Linked DNA regions of Mytilus edulis. Each later gene encodes a partner of the first gene's protein in a complex. Links are inferred from orthologs where the notes say so. Each region holds a gene or a part of one and is shown in the gene's direction. Other genes may lie near its edges.

The links.
Region 2: the proteins of AP-2 complex subunit mu (region 1) and P2X purinoceptor 4-like are in contact, whole or in part, in a crystal structure (PDB 2BP5), measured with the Rattus norvegicus proteins. The link is inferred for Mytilus edulis from reciprocal best matches to the Homo sapiens genes AP2M1 and P2RX4. Residues at the interface, in NP_446289.1 of Rattus norvegicus: Phe174, Leu175, Asp176, Lys203, Asn217, Leu316, Ala317, Gln318, Lys319, Glu391, Val392, Pro393, Lys400, Val401, Arg402, Tyr403, Leu404, Ile419, Lys420, Trp421, Val422, Arg423, Tyr424, Ile425; in NP_113782.2 of Rattus norvegicus: Val375, Glu376, Asp377, Tyr378, Glu379, Gln380, Gly381, Leu382, Ser383, Gly384.

The regions. Positions count from the first base shown.
Region 1 is NC_092356.1:16,485,777-16,492,732, forward strand, and holds the start of AP-2 complex subunit mu, read left to right. Parts: upstream 1-3,924; 5' UTR 3,925-4,026; intron 4,027-5,490; 5' UTR 5,491-5,509; coding exon 5,510-5,583; intron 5,584-6,820; coding exon 6,821-6,956.
Region 2 is NC_092349.1:77,591,659-77,598,864, forward strand, and holds the start of P2X purinoceptor 4-like, read left to right. Parts: upstream 1-4,100; 5' UTR 4,101-4,135; coding exon 4,136-4,269; intron 4,270-7,206. UniProt on the Homo sapiens protein: ATP-gated nonselective transmembrane cation channel permeable to potassium, sodium and calcium. CTP, but not GTP or UTP, functions as a weak affinity agonist for P2RX4.

The DNA.
Region 1 (6,956 bases):
GAGGACAGGAATAATTCCTAAACAGTTCTTAATCATAGAACCTTTAGTAGCTGCGCAATTAACTGAAGGCTGAGTAGCTGCATGATCAAAACCGGGCTTAGACCAACTATGCAATAAAATATTATGCTTAACATTACAGTCAGATACAGTGCATGCCTTTGGTTTTCTACAATTGTTAGCAAAATGCTTCCCTTTTAAACAATTATAACACAATTTTAACATGCGTACTAATTTATACCTATCATCTAAACTCATTGACTTGAATTTGCTACAAGCTGTAAAATCTACACAAGTACCTGTACAACATTTACATTTGTGCTCATATTTAGCTGTGTTATTTAAACTTTGAGTACTTAACGTAGTAACCTTACTATTAACTGTATCATTATTATGATGGTTACTTGTAAAAACCCTTTTATCAGTCTTGTTCTGATTGTTTTCTCTACAAAGATCGTACCCATACATAGAACTAGCAATGCGTGATTTTTCGTCTACAAATTTAGCTAAGTCAGAAAAACGGGGTTCTCTACCAGACTCACTAATTGAATGAGCAATGTCGACCCATCTTGTTCTCATATGCATTGGAAAGCGTTTAACAATACACCTTAAATTTTTAGAATTATCAATATCTGAATTAAAACCTAACTGAGACAATGTGATTTCACATTTTTGCATTTCTAATGCCAATTTAGATAAACCTTCAATATCTGACGCTTTAATCTGAGCGCCGTACACTAATTTTTCAATAAATGATCTAGCAATTACATGTGGCCTACCGTATCGGGAGTACAATATTGCCCTAGCACGTTTGTAACCCTCATCAGAATCTAATAATACACAATCTTCTATACAACACTTGGCTTCACCTCTACAGTACTGAATTAAATAACTCAGTCTCAAACTATTATCACTTATTCTACCTTCAATGTTTGTCTCAAAGTTCCTTATAAACTTACTATAGTCTAACGGAGTTCCATAGTCTAACGGAGTTCCATTAAAAGTTAATAATTCTGGTTTTGGCAAATTAAACCCTTCGTGAAGTGTAGATGCTAGGCGTTGAAAAGCTGAATCTATGCTGGAAACACTTACATCCGAAAATCCAGACTGAGCACTGATTCCCTGTGTACTGTTATTAATGTTCATCTTTGGTTTATCAGTTGCTGCAGTTTGTCCGGAAAGAGAGTTCATATTAATACACTTTTCACTCGCAGGAACAGAGCTCTGTAATGTTTGCGAGACTGTTTGCGAAATGTTCCGAATGTTCACGATTCCACTGGTATTATCTGTGTCTTCTTCCACTGCTTCTTGCCACACTGATTCTTCGATATTGGCCTCTTCCATCTCGGATAGTTGATTAAATACCTGTTGTCTAAATTTAATTTCTATTTGTGCACGCTCTAGTTCATGCTGTTCTGATAATTTCCTGAGTTTAAGTTCTGCGATTAGCCGCTTAGCTTTGGCACTGCGAAATCTAGATTGTGATGAAACTGAAGATCGTGAACTCAAACTGCTATCAATTGAAACTGTATCACTTTCTTCGGGTATTTCCTCTTCATGCGATTTTTCACTCGCAATATACTGAGAAAATCTATCCCGGAATTCTACAAAGTTCTCATGACAACGTTCATAGTTCACTTCCAAATTTTCTATAACTTCTGATTGTGTACACAAATCTAAACACTGTAAGTGTGCTAACTTAAATTGTTCAAACCTTTCACATAACTTTGAATATAATTGTTTTGCATGTTCCACGTTCTCATATGAAATTAAATTCTTCTCCAATTCTTTGTACAATTTAGTAAGCTGCGCTAAATTCGTACTACGAGTCCGTTTTACATCACTGAAGTCCAGACAGTCTTCTTTCCGTCTATCGGTAGCCATTTTCTTTTTAACAAATAGTCAAAATTCGGCACAATTTTAGAATTTCCTCCTCTCCAGAGTTGAGAATTGTACGAATCACATAAAGTTTAACTTAGGGCGAAGAAATGAGTATGCGAGTTAAGTTGCACCATGTATCTATCTTTTATTCTTTTATAAAAATCATATGGTCGCTAATAATCGATTCTCAACTTTGATCTGTCTAATAAAATAATGTGCATCCTTATGTTATCAAAATAAAGTCTAGACGACGAAGCGCACGTCAAAGGCGTAACGTCATAAAACAGAAACGGGAAAATGTGTTGTTCAAAAGAGCGCAACGTTACATTAGCGCTTTCATAAATAAATAGTAAAAACTGTGTTTCTTATTCTTACAAGAATAAATGAATATGTTAGTTAAACATTTAATAAATAATAAACTTATATTTAAAATTTGAATATTTCAAATCTTACAATGGTCATAAGGTCATTTGAGGAAACCAGGTCGCCTTTGAATCTTTTTGCATTGTATGAACTTCTTTCTTTTTTTTTTTAAGACAATGAGAATAAGATAGCATTTATTTTCAAAAACTATGAATTATAGTAGTACTATACAAATCCTTGAAAATGTAGTCCGACTCAGAAAATGCGGACGATAAAGACAATAACAAACAAAACCAAGGAGTAAACAAAGACTCACAAAACCAAAGGACATTTACATCAATAGTTATAAATAAGAAATAAAAAACAACACGAACTCCACTAAAAACCATGAAAACCGGGAGTGAAATCAGGTGCTCCGGAAGGGTAAGCATTTCCTGCACCGTATACGGCATCCGTCGTGTTATTTCTTTGTTCAGTCAGTCGATAATAATGGAAGGTTATTATGACTGAGGAAGAATATCAGATATGATTTCTAACACACTTTTTTCATAATTGCCAATCAGATCAAGATGACGACCGTAAAATTTCTTGAGTGATGACCTTAATTTGATTGATTCATAGCCCTGTCTTAGCAACTTTTGAGAAAGCAGTATTCCTCGTTCAACAAAATCAACGTACTTTGAACTAGCTCTAGAGTAACGTATCAATTGAGACACATATACTCCATATGCTGGTGCCGCTGGGATGTTGCTACACAGAAATGGAAAGTTGACTATAGGAAAATTAAAATCATCGCGTTTGTCATAAATTTTGGTATTCAACCTACCATCAGTAGTCATTTCGAGAAAAAGGTCTAAATATGAAGCAGATTTATCTGTGTCGGTAGTATCTTTAATTTCAAGTTCACTTGGATATATTAAATGTAAGTGATCACTGAATCTATTATCATTAACAGACAGTACATCATCAATATACCGAAAGGTGAAATTAAAAGACTGGGCTAACTTCTTTTCTCCTTTCTGTACAAGCCCTTGGATAAATTCTGCTTCATAGGAATACAAAAACAAATCTGCAAGTAGAGGAGCGCAATTGGTACCCACTGGGATTTCAATAGTCTGTTGGAAGACTAAACCTCCAAATTCAACAAATATGTTGTCAATTTAAAAGTCCAGCATGACAGTGATATCCTCTTCGGTGTATTTTTTGCTTGACCCTGTATGATTTTTCACAAAGTAAGCTGAATTTCTGCCCAAAACTAGATGATATTTAAAAACGTCTAGTGCCAGCCTTTTTGTTAAAGAAACATAGGTTGACGAGGTCTTTCAGTCGAGCTTTAAGTTTTTAGTATGTGGAATAGTGGTATAAAGAGTTGAAAAATCAAAGGTTTTAATGTTGGTACACTGTTTTAATAAATGAGATTGTAAATTCACCAATAACTCTTTTGATTTTTTCAATATCCACATCTGATTAACACCACTTCTTGAATATGTCGTTTCGGAATATTTCTGAAGTCCTACTTTGACTGCAGTGAGTATGGCAGTAAGAAATTTAGAAAGGGGTTTAGTGAAACACTTGTAAGAACCTGCAATATACCTTTCCTTATAAGGATTCTTGTGGTGCTTAGGAATCAATATAAGGATTTAAATTTAATACTGCAAATACGGAAATTAAAGTTACTACTGATTTGGTTCTAATATTATTGACTTTTCTGAAACCGGAAGTGATCTTTCCACACTTCGATTTTCTTTCTTGCTCATTAGAAATGATTATTTATAATTTGTGCCGGTAAAAAAGATACATATATGTTTTCCTTTAAAGTTAATGAACAACTACTAATAATTTCTATTACATTCACTTCTTTGATTGAAATTCCTGTGATAGAATAACTGGAAGCAGTACAAATCATCAAGTGGGCGTATCATCAGGGACATCGCGTCACTTTTCTTGGGTTTAATCACTAAATATTTTGATATAACCCACAATCAAACAAATTAACACAGATTTGGTCTGCTGAATAACTGGTATAGGTCAAAATTAAATCTTATATCTGTGTTTTTTTTACACTCATTCTATTCAATTATTTATGTCGGTTAAAATCTCATTAGAGCTTATGTTTGTCTATGTTTGTATACCTTGCCGACTCTAAATAAAGCTTATTTATTATTATAATAGCTCTGGTTGATTCGCCCAGTTGATGTTTCCAGTTTGTTCTCCAAGTCTTTGACGTGATGCTCCCTAGCCCTTGATATGTTGGCCCTGTTGATGTTTCCAGTTTGTTCTCCAAGTCTTTGACGTGATGCTCCCTAGCCCTTGATATGTTGGCCCTGTTGACTGTTCTCCAAGTCTTTGACGTGATGCTCCCTAGCCCTTGATATGTTGGCCCTGTTGACTGTTCACACCAGCTTCTTTATCCCAATTTGATTAAACAATGTTATTTGGTCCAGAATAATATGTAAGCAAAAACAAATGAGTGGATAGATGATTGTTGATCAAATGTAAATGTTTTTGTTATGATTTGCTCAGCTAATTGTTTTGAAAGTTTATATGCACATATAAACCTTTCTTTATCGTTGTGTTGCTATTAACATGATTGAACAAAATAAATAATCTTGCTGTGGCTTCTTTAATTTCCAATGAGACAAATTGTGTTCTTAAACAAATAATTGAAAGCTCTGCATTATAGTAACTAAAAAAGTCAAGAACTTGATACAATTTATGAGGCATCTGTTTTAGTCTACCAGTCAATGCTCTTCAACTTCGTAATTTATTTGGCCTTTAAAGCTTTTTTTTTATTTGAGCTTCACTGATGAGTCTTTTGTATACCGTTGATGAAACGTTTGTCAGGTGCAAATACAAAATTTCAATCCTAGTATCTATGATCATGATAATGAGTTCAATCATCCTATCATCATATTTGACTCAACTTGTCTCATGGTATTACATGTACTTTGTTTCTTGATGTGGTACATGGTAACACGGTTACTCATTTATTGATCAAAGTTATTTCTCACATTACTTTATTATTAATATTATGTTTATCTTTTATGGGTTATACATGTTTGAACCTGTAAAAAAGTTGTTTTTTACTTTACAAAATATACAGTAAAGATCAGTATACCCTTTGAAACTGATATATAAATGTTTTCTTAAATTATTTATCCATTGGTAGTGTACACTGAACTAAATATCAGGTAAAACTTATACATACAATCAAGGTTTTTCTATACATGATGTATTTTTGGTTTTCAGGTAACAGAAAAATAAAGAAATGATTGGTGGACTATTTATTTACAACCACAAAGGAGAGGTCCTCATATCCAGGGTATACAGAGATGATATTGGGTAAACTTATCAAATTAAAGTTTTATAAATAATGATTGTGAAAAAGGTTATTCTAGTGTTCATTCTTTCATGTTGTTTCACAAACTGAATTAAGGTAGCACAGTACAAAGATTTTATACCTCCAATGCCCCAGTTTTAAAATGCTGTAACTTTCTTTATAATGCTTGAAAATTTATTAAATTGGTATTTATGGATAGCTAACAGATTATTACTCTTTCAAATTAATGCAATGTTAGTATTGTACAACAATTATGTAATCAATTATAATTTTAACTGTGTCTACAAAATTTTACAAGAAATTTACACTTTCAATTGAAATTAGCTTCTTCATGGATACCCAGAGAGGGTTGATTTTATACTATGTTGTTCCTATAGCCATTGTCTACAAAAGAGTGTCTCAGATTTTGGATAGAATGTAGAGATCAAATTTTACACCTTATCAAACAATCTCTACTTTTATGTGGTAAGGATATTTACACTCATTACAGATTTATGAGAGAATAGAATACAATAGCCATAATTTGAGACACCCTTTTGTAGCTCCTACTGTGTTGATTAAGATAACGTTAAAATTTCTTGTGTAGTTATAGAGATGACAGAGCTAAATTCATACAAGTGAACTGACCAAGATTTTGCCGTTAATTACATAATAATTGTAACATAATGATTGCAGAACAAAAATATTGCATTCATTTAAAAGATTAATCTTTTATTTATCTATATATACCTCTTTTATTAATTTACATGCAGTCATAAGAAAGTTACAGCATATTAAAGGTTGGAGATTGGAAGTAAAAAATCTTTGCATTGTGCTACCTTAAGTCAGACAGACTTTATGACACAATAATATATTATTTTCTTTGTTGAATAGCTCAACAATGAAACAAAACTGGATGCTTTGCAAAATGTCGCTCCCAATTCTAAGACATAAATTACCCCCCCTTCCCCAATCTACACCTGAACTTATGTTTAATATCATGCATGTCAAATATTTCATTATTGAGCAGTGGCTAAAAAGTATATGTAATTTTCCTTTTTCAGGGCAACAATTTTGTTGTATGAACATTTCATCATTTTCTTAAGAAATTAAACTTTGTCTTTGTTTTCAGTATCCACTCAAAGATTGCTTTTATTTTGATATGTTAATTATTTGTGAACAACACATTAATTAGTGGTAGAGTTGTGCTACATGTATTCTGCAATCATTTACAAAAAGTATTGCTGCCTTATATTTCAGACGTAATGCAGTTGATGCATTTAGGGTCAATGTCATTCATGCCAGACAACAAGTCCGTTCACCTGTAACCAATATTGCCAGAACCAGTTTTTTCCACATCAAAAGGTCCAACATCTGGTTAGCCGCAGTAACCAAA
Region 2 (7,206 bases), on another chromosome or scaffold:
TTTTCTAATTCATAACTTCAAGCGAACATAAATTATTTACAAAATAAACTCAACACCTTTGTATGGGATCAGCTCGCCTGACAGTGTGCAGCAAAGCTTTAATTTTATCAAAGACAAATGCAACGTAAAAAATGTTCATCAGTGTTACTGTCTGCCTAGGCCGCTGCAGGTAACAAACACAAAAACCAATCTACAAAAATAAAAACAATTTTCATTTTGTACGAAAATACATTTTATGAATCAAATAAAGATTCTGTTCTTACACACATTATTATTCACATTAATAAAAAATAACACAAATAAAATACATTAAGTCGGGTGGGAGGGTGGGAAACTTTACTGCACCAAAAGACAATATCTTTAATATACAAAACCGCCAAAAGTATAGCACGAAATATTTGAAATGACCTTATTCAAATATTATGGTCAGTTCTAACTCGACCAATGAAAAACATTTAACCTATTATATACTTTCAAACACGTGTAATTTTATAAACAAATACACGTGGTAATGTTTTCATACCGGTGTACATAACTTTAATAAATATATTTAAACTAGCAGTTAGTTTGTGTTCATTCGTCCAGGTGTAGGCCTAGGGTATGACTCGTTGGTATATATGCTAAAGATCTTGAGTTCGATTCCTAACATGGATACTCGATTATTTCTATACACATTATAATAGTTAGTCTTTTCTGTATAAATATTTTTAAGTTTTATTGTCGATTTGACATTCCCATCAAAATGTTACAGAAAAAAAGAAAGCATGCATAATATAAGAAACTCAAGCTAGGGTGATCTGGATTAGATGGTCGGGCTCAGATCACCCCTGGTAGAACAAAGGAGCTGGAATCAGTGGCGGATCCAGAACTTTCCTTAATTAGGGAGGGCCCGCTGACTGACCTAAGTAAGGGGGGCCCGCTCCAGTCATGCTTCAATGATTCCCTATCTAATCAACCAAATTTTTCCCACGAAAGGGGCCTGCCCCTCCCCCGGATCCGCCTATGGGAATTTTAATTTTAATGAATAGTATAACAAAATAAAACTGAATCCCAAAGGAGTAAAAACGTCAATGGAAAATAACAAATTAGTTTTTTTTTTTATTAACAACAGAACGAGTCAAAAACAATCGTTATATTCCTAAATTTAAAGATTCATTTTTCGACGGAAATTTAGACTGTCAAGTTTATACCTAGTCATATACAGCATTTATGAAATATTCTATTAAAAAAGGTTGAAATTAACGACTGGAAAACAAACTTATTTTGCATTTGGTTGCTTCCTCATTGACTTTTACTACACATGTTCTTCGTAAACTTTTTACTGAAAAAGATAGAGATTATTACATTGTATTTCTGTGTTGTATCTATTTTGGATGGAACATCTACACTATCAAAGAATAAAGATGCAGCTTGAGCTTTTCTAAATGTGTCGTTACCTTTACACATGGATAAGGATAGATATAAAAAAAAATTGTCTAAAAGAGGAAAATTTGATCTAAACCTTTAATTGTTATTTTCTTTTTTTTTAAATTTCATATCGAAATAAGTAAATGAGGTATGGGCGCCAATGAGACAACTCTCTATCCAAGTCTTCTATTGTCAGGTTATATATTTTCGTGTATTTCATTATTATAAATTTAGTCAGTCACTAAAAAAGTTAAGCATCTGTTTGATTTTTTTGAGTTAATTGAGTGTTTGTGATTGTATTTTGTTTTTAAATATATTTCATTATAAGAAGCCATTTTTTAACTTCAATATTGTTTCCTACCCCTCTATGATAATGCACCTGTCATTTGCTGACAGATTATATATAGAGTAGCAAAATATGAGCATAAAACCGAAGTCGGTGAAATGTTTGATTAAAAACAATTAAAGTGCGTTGTTAGAAATTACTTGTTACTGAGGTATATTGTTTGAAAAAAAATGTTTTTAAAAGAGAGATGACAAAGCAGTGTGTAGACTTATATATGTTATCTTTCGTCCGAGAAATTGCGATTTATCTGCAATTTGTAACTAATTGACTTTAAAGTAGGTGTTATTATTGATGCATCCAGTATAATCCTGGCACCTCAAGTTTTTTTCTCCATCTTTACAATTCTATTATTTCAATTTCTTTTTACAAAATATCCCAATATCGAGCAACAGAAATCAAATACGGGCAGAATATATGCACCAATTTGCTACTACTAACTAACTAAAATATATATATAAAACCAGGTTAAATCCACCATTCTCTGTATAAGAAAATCCCTGTACCAAGATTTGAATTTTCCTCGGAGTTCAGTATTTTTGTGATCTTATTTTTTGCACTTGTCATAGTTACATTAGCTTTTATTAGCTGCAAGTGTCTTTATGTTGTTTTTTTTGTCCGGCCATTTCAAAAAGTTGTTCACACTTCGTTCTATAGTTGTGCTGCTACAATGTTTCTGGTTATATCATGTAAATCCTTTGAAAACTCGCATGCAAATTGTCAGTTCATCGAGTTATCAAGTTATTTCTGTACCCTTTTTCTTACTATACGGTAAGAAGTTGCCCATTGTTCCAGACAATATGGTGACCTTAGGGGACGACCGTTTGATATTCGGGGGCGGGCGTGGGGGGGGGGGGGGGGGGTGTCAGGAGGATTTGTTTTTGATCGGTTACTAGTATTTATTTTTGTAAACTAAGAGGACAGCTTATTCATTTTCTGCACTATTGGAGCAAGATTTTTCATTTTCATTAAAGCAAGGGACTGATTATCCATTTTCACAACTATATTTATGAAATTCGAAAACATGTACAATTTTTAAATGATTTGTTAATTATAAATATTACATGTATAGTCAAGTCATTATGTACCATTTAATCAGAATTAATCATCATCCTCTGCAGAAATGAATCTTTTATATTCGCAACTGCATATACATGTTTTGCATACATACATAGTATTAAGGTTTGGTTGTAACTAGCCTCTTTTAAAAGTATGGGCAAACCTATTCCGCCGATCGAAGCGAGAATTTTTTTTTTTTAAGGGTTTTGGAGCCACTGACGGCCTAAGAAGCTATTGAACAAATGATGCAAAATCATGCTTTCTGGGTGTTCTGAAGACCCTTTCATAATCTGAAAATGCAAGTTTTGTTTTAATAATTTTTTGACAATATTTTGGTCTCATAGCTAAATGTATAAATTCAATGTAAAACATAAGTTTCTAGGGACAACATCAAAAGACCAATGTGCATGATAAAGCAAAAATGGAATTCACATAGTTAAGTCAGTGGCTGCTGGTTTTTTTTAACTCGTGATCAAGTTCATGACGAAATTACTAGATTACAAAAGGAATGCAACACTAACAGAATACAGAAGGACAATCAATGAACAAAAGACAAATAAATAAGAAACATTGACCCCGAAAAATCAGGGCTACGTGTGAGGGAAAACAGAACTTGCTTCTTGCAAGGCACTCGCCATTAACACAATTTGGTATGGAGACAAGCATTCGGTTTTAACATTTCCTACTGTAGTCATTTGACTCAATGTAGTTTAATATTGCCCTGTTAAAATAAAAGTGAGGTAAGGTTTCCTGGGACAATATACCTCAAATTAAATGAAACTAATTTTCAGACGTTTTAAGTATATTTTTAAATAATATTTATACTTTTATTATCCAAAAAATTGCATTGAGAAGTGTTTCCCGATTTTTTTGGGGGAAAAGATTAATTTATGAAGAATCTGTTGCCATCTCATACTGAGTTATTTATTTTCAATACATTACAAGTCAGGTAATTTATTTTTAAACTACCACAGAACAAACCATTTATTTTTGTGATTATCAAGGCTGGCTGAGTTATTAATTTTCAAAATCCTCGGCCGGATGATTAACCAAAAAATTGTTAATTATTTGAATCACATGTAAAAGGGGGTATCTTCCTAATTAGGTGTACGGGGATGTGCCAACTCTACTTAATTGCCGTACCTCAGAGCAAGGAATTGTATATTTAAATATAAATTGTTCGTGATTGATATAAATATCCTATCAGTCACACTAACAATAATAAAAGAATTACAAAAACTTTTTCCCGCCAAATTTTGTTTGAAGATTCAAAAGAAGCTCCGAATGACAAGTCATGTGATTTCGGTGGAAACTGAAAGTAGGAATATGGGCAGTATTTGTAACAAGGCTGTTGGTGTATTTTTCGAGTATGACACGCCGAGAATAGTTCATATTCGTAGCAAAAAAGTCGGCGTGATCAATCGTTTGATACAGCTCATAATAATTGGATATGTCATTGGGTAAGAAATGTACAACAGTCAAATGTCTTACCATGTTACAAGTTACACACACCAATCCCAAAACAGCAAAAGACATGTGATGTATTATAAATAAATTATATCTTGGACTAATACCACAGACACTCGTCTCACAAAAACATATTTCCTTTATAATATAAACCTTCATACTACCTTTATGTTATATAGAGGATCCTGATCCCGAAATCACGGACGTTAAAGACATGAAATCCTGGGGTCCCAAATTTAAATAAACGTAAATCCCAACATTCTGAAATTTGAAAAAAAGAAGTCCTGGATCCCGGAAAGTGTCAATCCAGTAATCCCCATCTTAAAAACAACTGATCCCAGAGTTCCAATAAAGGTCCTGTCCCCTCTCTTTAAGGAGGCTCGAGGGTATAAAAATTTCAGAAAAAATCAAACATTTGTTTTTCATTACAAATTTTATTTATTTCATTTTGTAGTTGTTACTTTATCATATGGCACAAAAATCATTCAAAACAATCAATTCGTGTTGGCCCCAGATGACTTTTAAAATGTATACATCATTGAAAAAGTTCCAAATTATCTCCCTTTGGTGGAAAAATGCCATTTTTTGGCTCTAAAATTGAAGGCCCAAGACCACAATTAATGACACCGCTTTTCGTTGTCCACGAATATAGTTCCTTTTAATTAGAGTGTATTTTTCCTTAATTTTTTTTCTTTCCTTTCCTCACTCATTCCTTAAATCTTTTTGGGTGGAAATGAAAGAAGAGAGGTCAAATAAATTTTTGGAGGTTGTATTTTAACTGATTTTGATATGGAATGAGTGATTAGGTCAAGTGCAAAAAGGTGATATTTACAGTTTTCGGAACATCTCTTGACTTGTCAATAGGGGTATGGATGTGTATTGGCTAAATTTGTAAAAGTGATTGCTTCAATCTTTCTGAATTTTGGATATATATTTGGACTAGGACAATACATTACACACACAAAAAATTGGACAAAAGTGCATGGTGCAATTTTTTTAATGATGCAAAAGGTTATAAAGAACTGATAGAGGAATTAATTGTGGTCTGTGGCCTAAGAGGTGCATTTCAGCAAATTTAGAATTTTTACTTTGGCATCTTTTCTGAATGATCTATTGGTATTGATTTGTCAAACTATATGAGAAGAAATGATTTTCACTTTCATTTGATAGAAATTTTGTGAAAAAGTCACTTTTCAGGTTAAATGCCTAAAATGTAGCTTTTTCACTTTTTTCACTATTTTTTCAAAAACAGCATGCTTAATTTCTCTCTGACAGTTTTTTTCTGGTATCTATTTGTGTTTGTGGTATTTATTTCAGTTGTTTAACTTATTTGTGAACTCTGAACACAAAAAAAAAGTAGATAAAAACATAAAAAGAGTGCAAAATGTGCTGTTTTAATAGTCTAAGTCTAACGGTCAGTATACGCAGCAGGTGAAATGTGAAGTTCTATGCACTTAAAAGTTGTATTCCAAAACAGATTGCACTGAACCTACATCAAAAACACTTATTACTGGTTGCTTAACCATTTCTGTTTTACAGACTACCTTTACTTTCTTCTGTTGGATAGCTAGTGGTTTAAATATTGGCCTTTTAAGGCTGACATTTCATTCAGTTTTTAAACAGTAAAGTTAATAAACTTTGCATCAGACCATACTGTCTGTATATATAGTTGAAAGTGACAGTCTTGTTACATCCAGGCTCCATGTTTTATCATATCTGAGCACAGATTTTAGCAAAAAGAAGTATATCTCCATCTCCCATATCATTTATATGCTTTTAAATATGCAAATGTGGGGAACGGCCTAAACTGGCAATCTGTTTTTTTAAGCATAACATTGCTAAAGACCATTTTATCCACATGCTTTATGCTATTTGAAACTTATATTTCCATCAAAAGTACATTTATAACCTGTTAAAGTTTGTTTGATAACTTAACAACTTCAGAAAATTGTGGTAAGTGAAAAATATTACATTTGATATAAGGCCTCACCCTAATTGAAAACCTCTATTTTTTGGCACAGGCTCATATAAAATTAACTTCTGGCCATTTTGCATAAGTCTGATACATGAAATATGCTTTCTGTTGCTTTAAATAGATGTTAACTTATACATAGAGACATTAAAAAGTGTTAGTTTTGGTATCTTTTGGTTTTTAGAAGCTCAAATTTGATAGTTTTAATTGTTCTAATTCAACGCCACAATTCAGCACCCAAAATTCAGATATAAAAAATGCCACATTTTTTTTATTTGGTATCATATGGCTTTGAAACTTTGTAACCTGTTTTATAATATACTAAGCTTGAATCATGCCAAGTTTTATTAGAATTGGTCAAGTTTTAGGCCCCTAATAGGCCCAAGACCACAATTAATGACACCGCTTTTCGTTGTCCACGAATATAGTTCCTTTTAATTAGAGTGTATTTTTCCTTAATTTTTTTTCTTTCCTTTCCTCACTCATTCCTTAAATCTTTTTGGGTGGAAATGAAAGAAGAGAGGTCAAATAAATTTTTGGAGGTTGTATTTTAACTGATTTTGATATGGAATGAGTGATTAGGTCAAGTGCAAAAAGGTGATATTTACAGTTTTCGGAACATCTCTTGACTTGTCAATAGGGGTATGGATGTGTATTGGCTAAATTTGTAAAAGTGATTGCTTCAATCTTTCTGAATTTTGGATATATATTTGGACTAGGACAATACATTACACACACAAAAAATTGGACAAAAGTGCATGGTGCAATTTTTTTAATGATGCAAAAGGTTATAAAGAACTGATAGAGGAATTAATTGTGGTCTGTGGCCTGAAATATCTTTTTCAACTCATCGGTGACCTATCTTTTTTAATATAATTTCCATATAAGCTGTACTTAAACTAAATTATTGTAAAATTTTACCGATTTCTGTAATAAATTTCGTTTTTTTATTTCGATA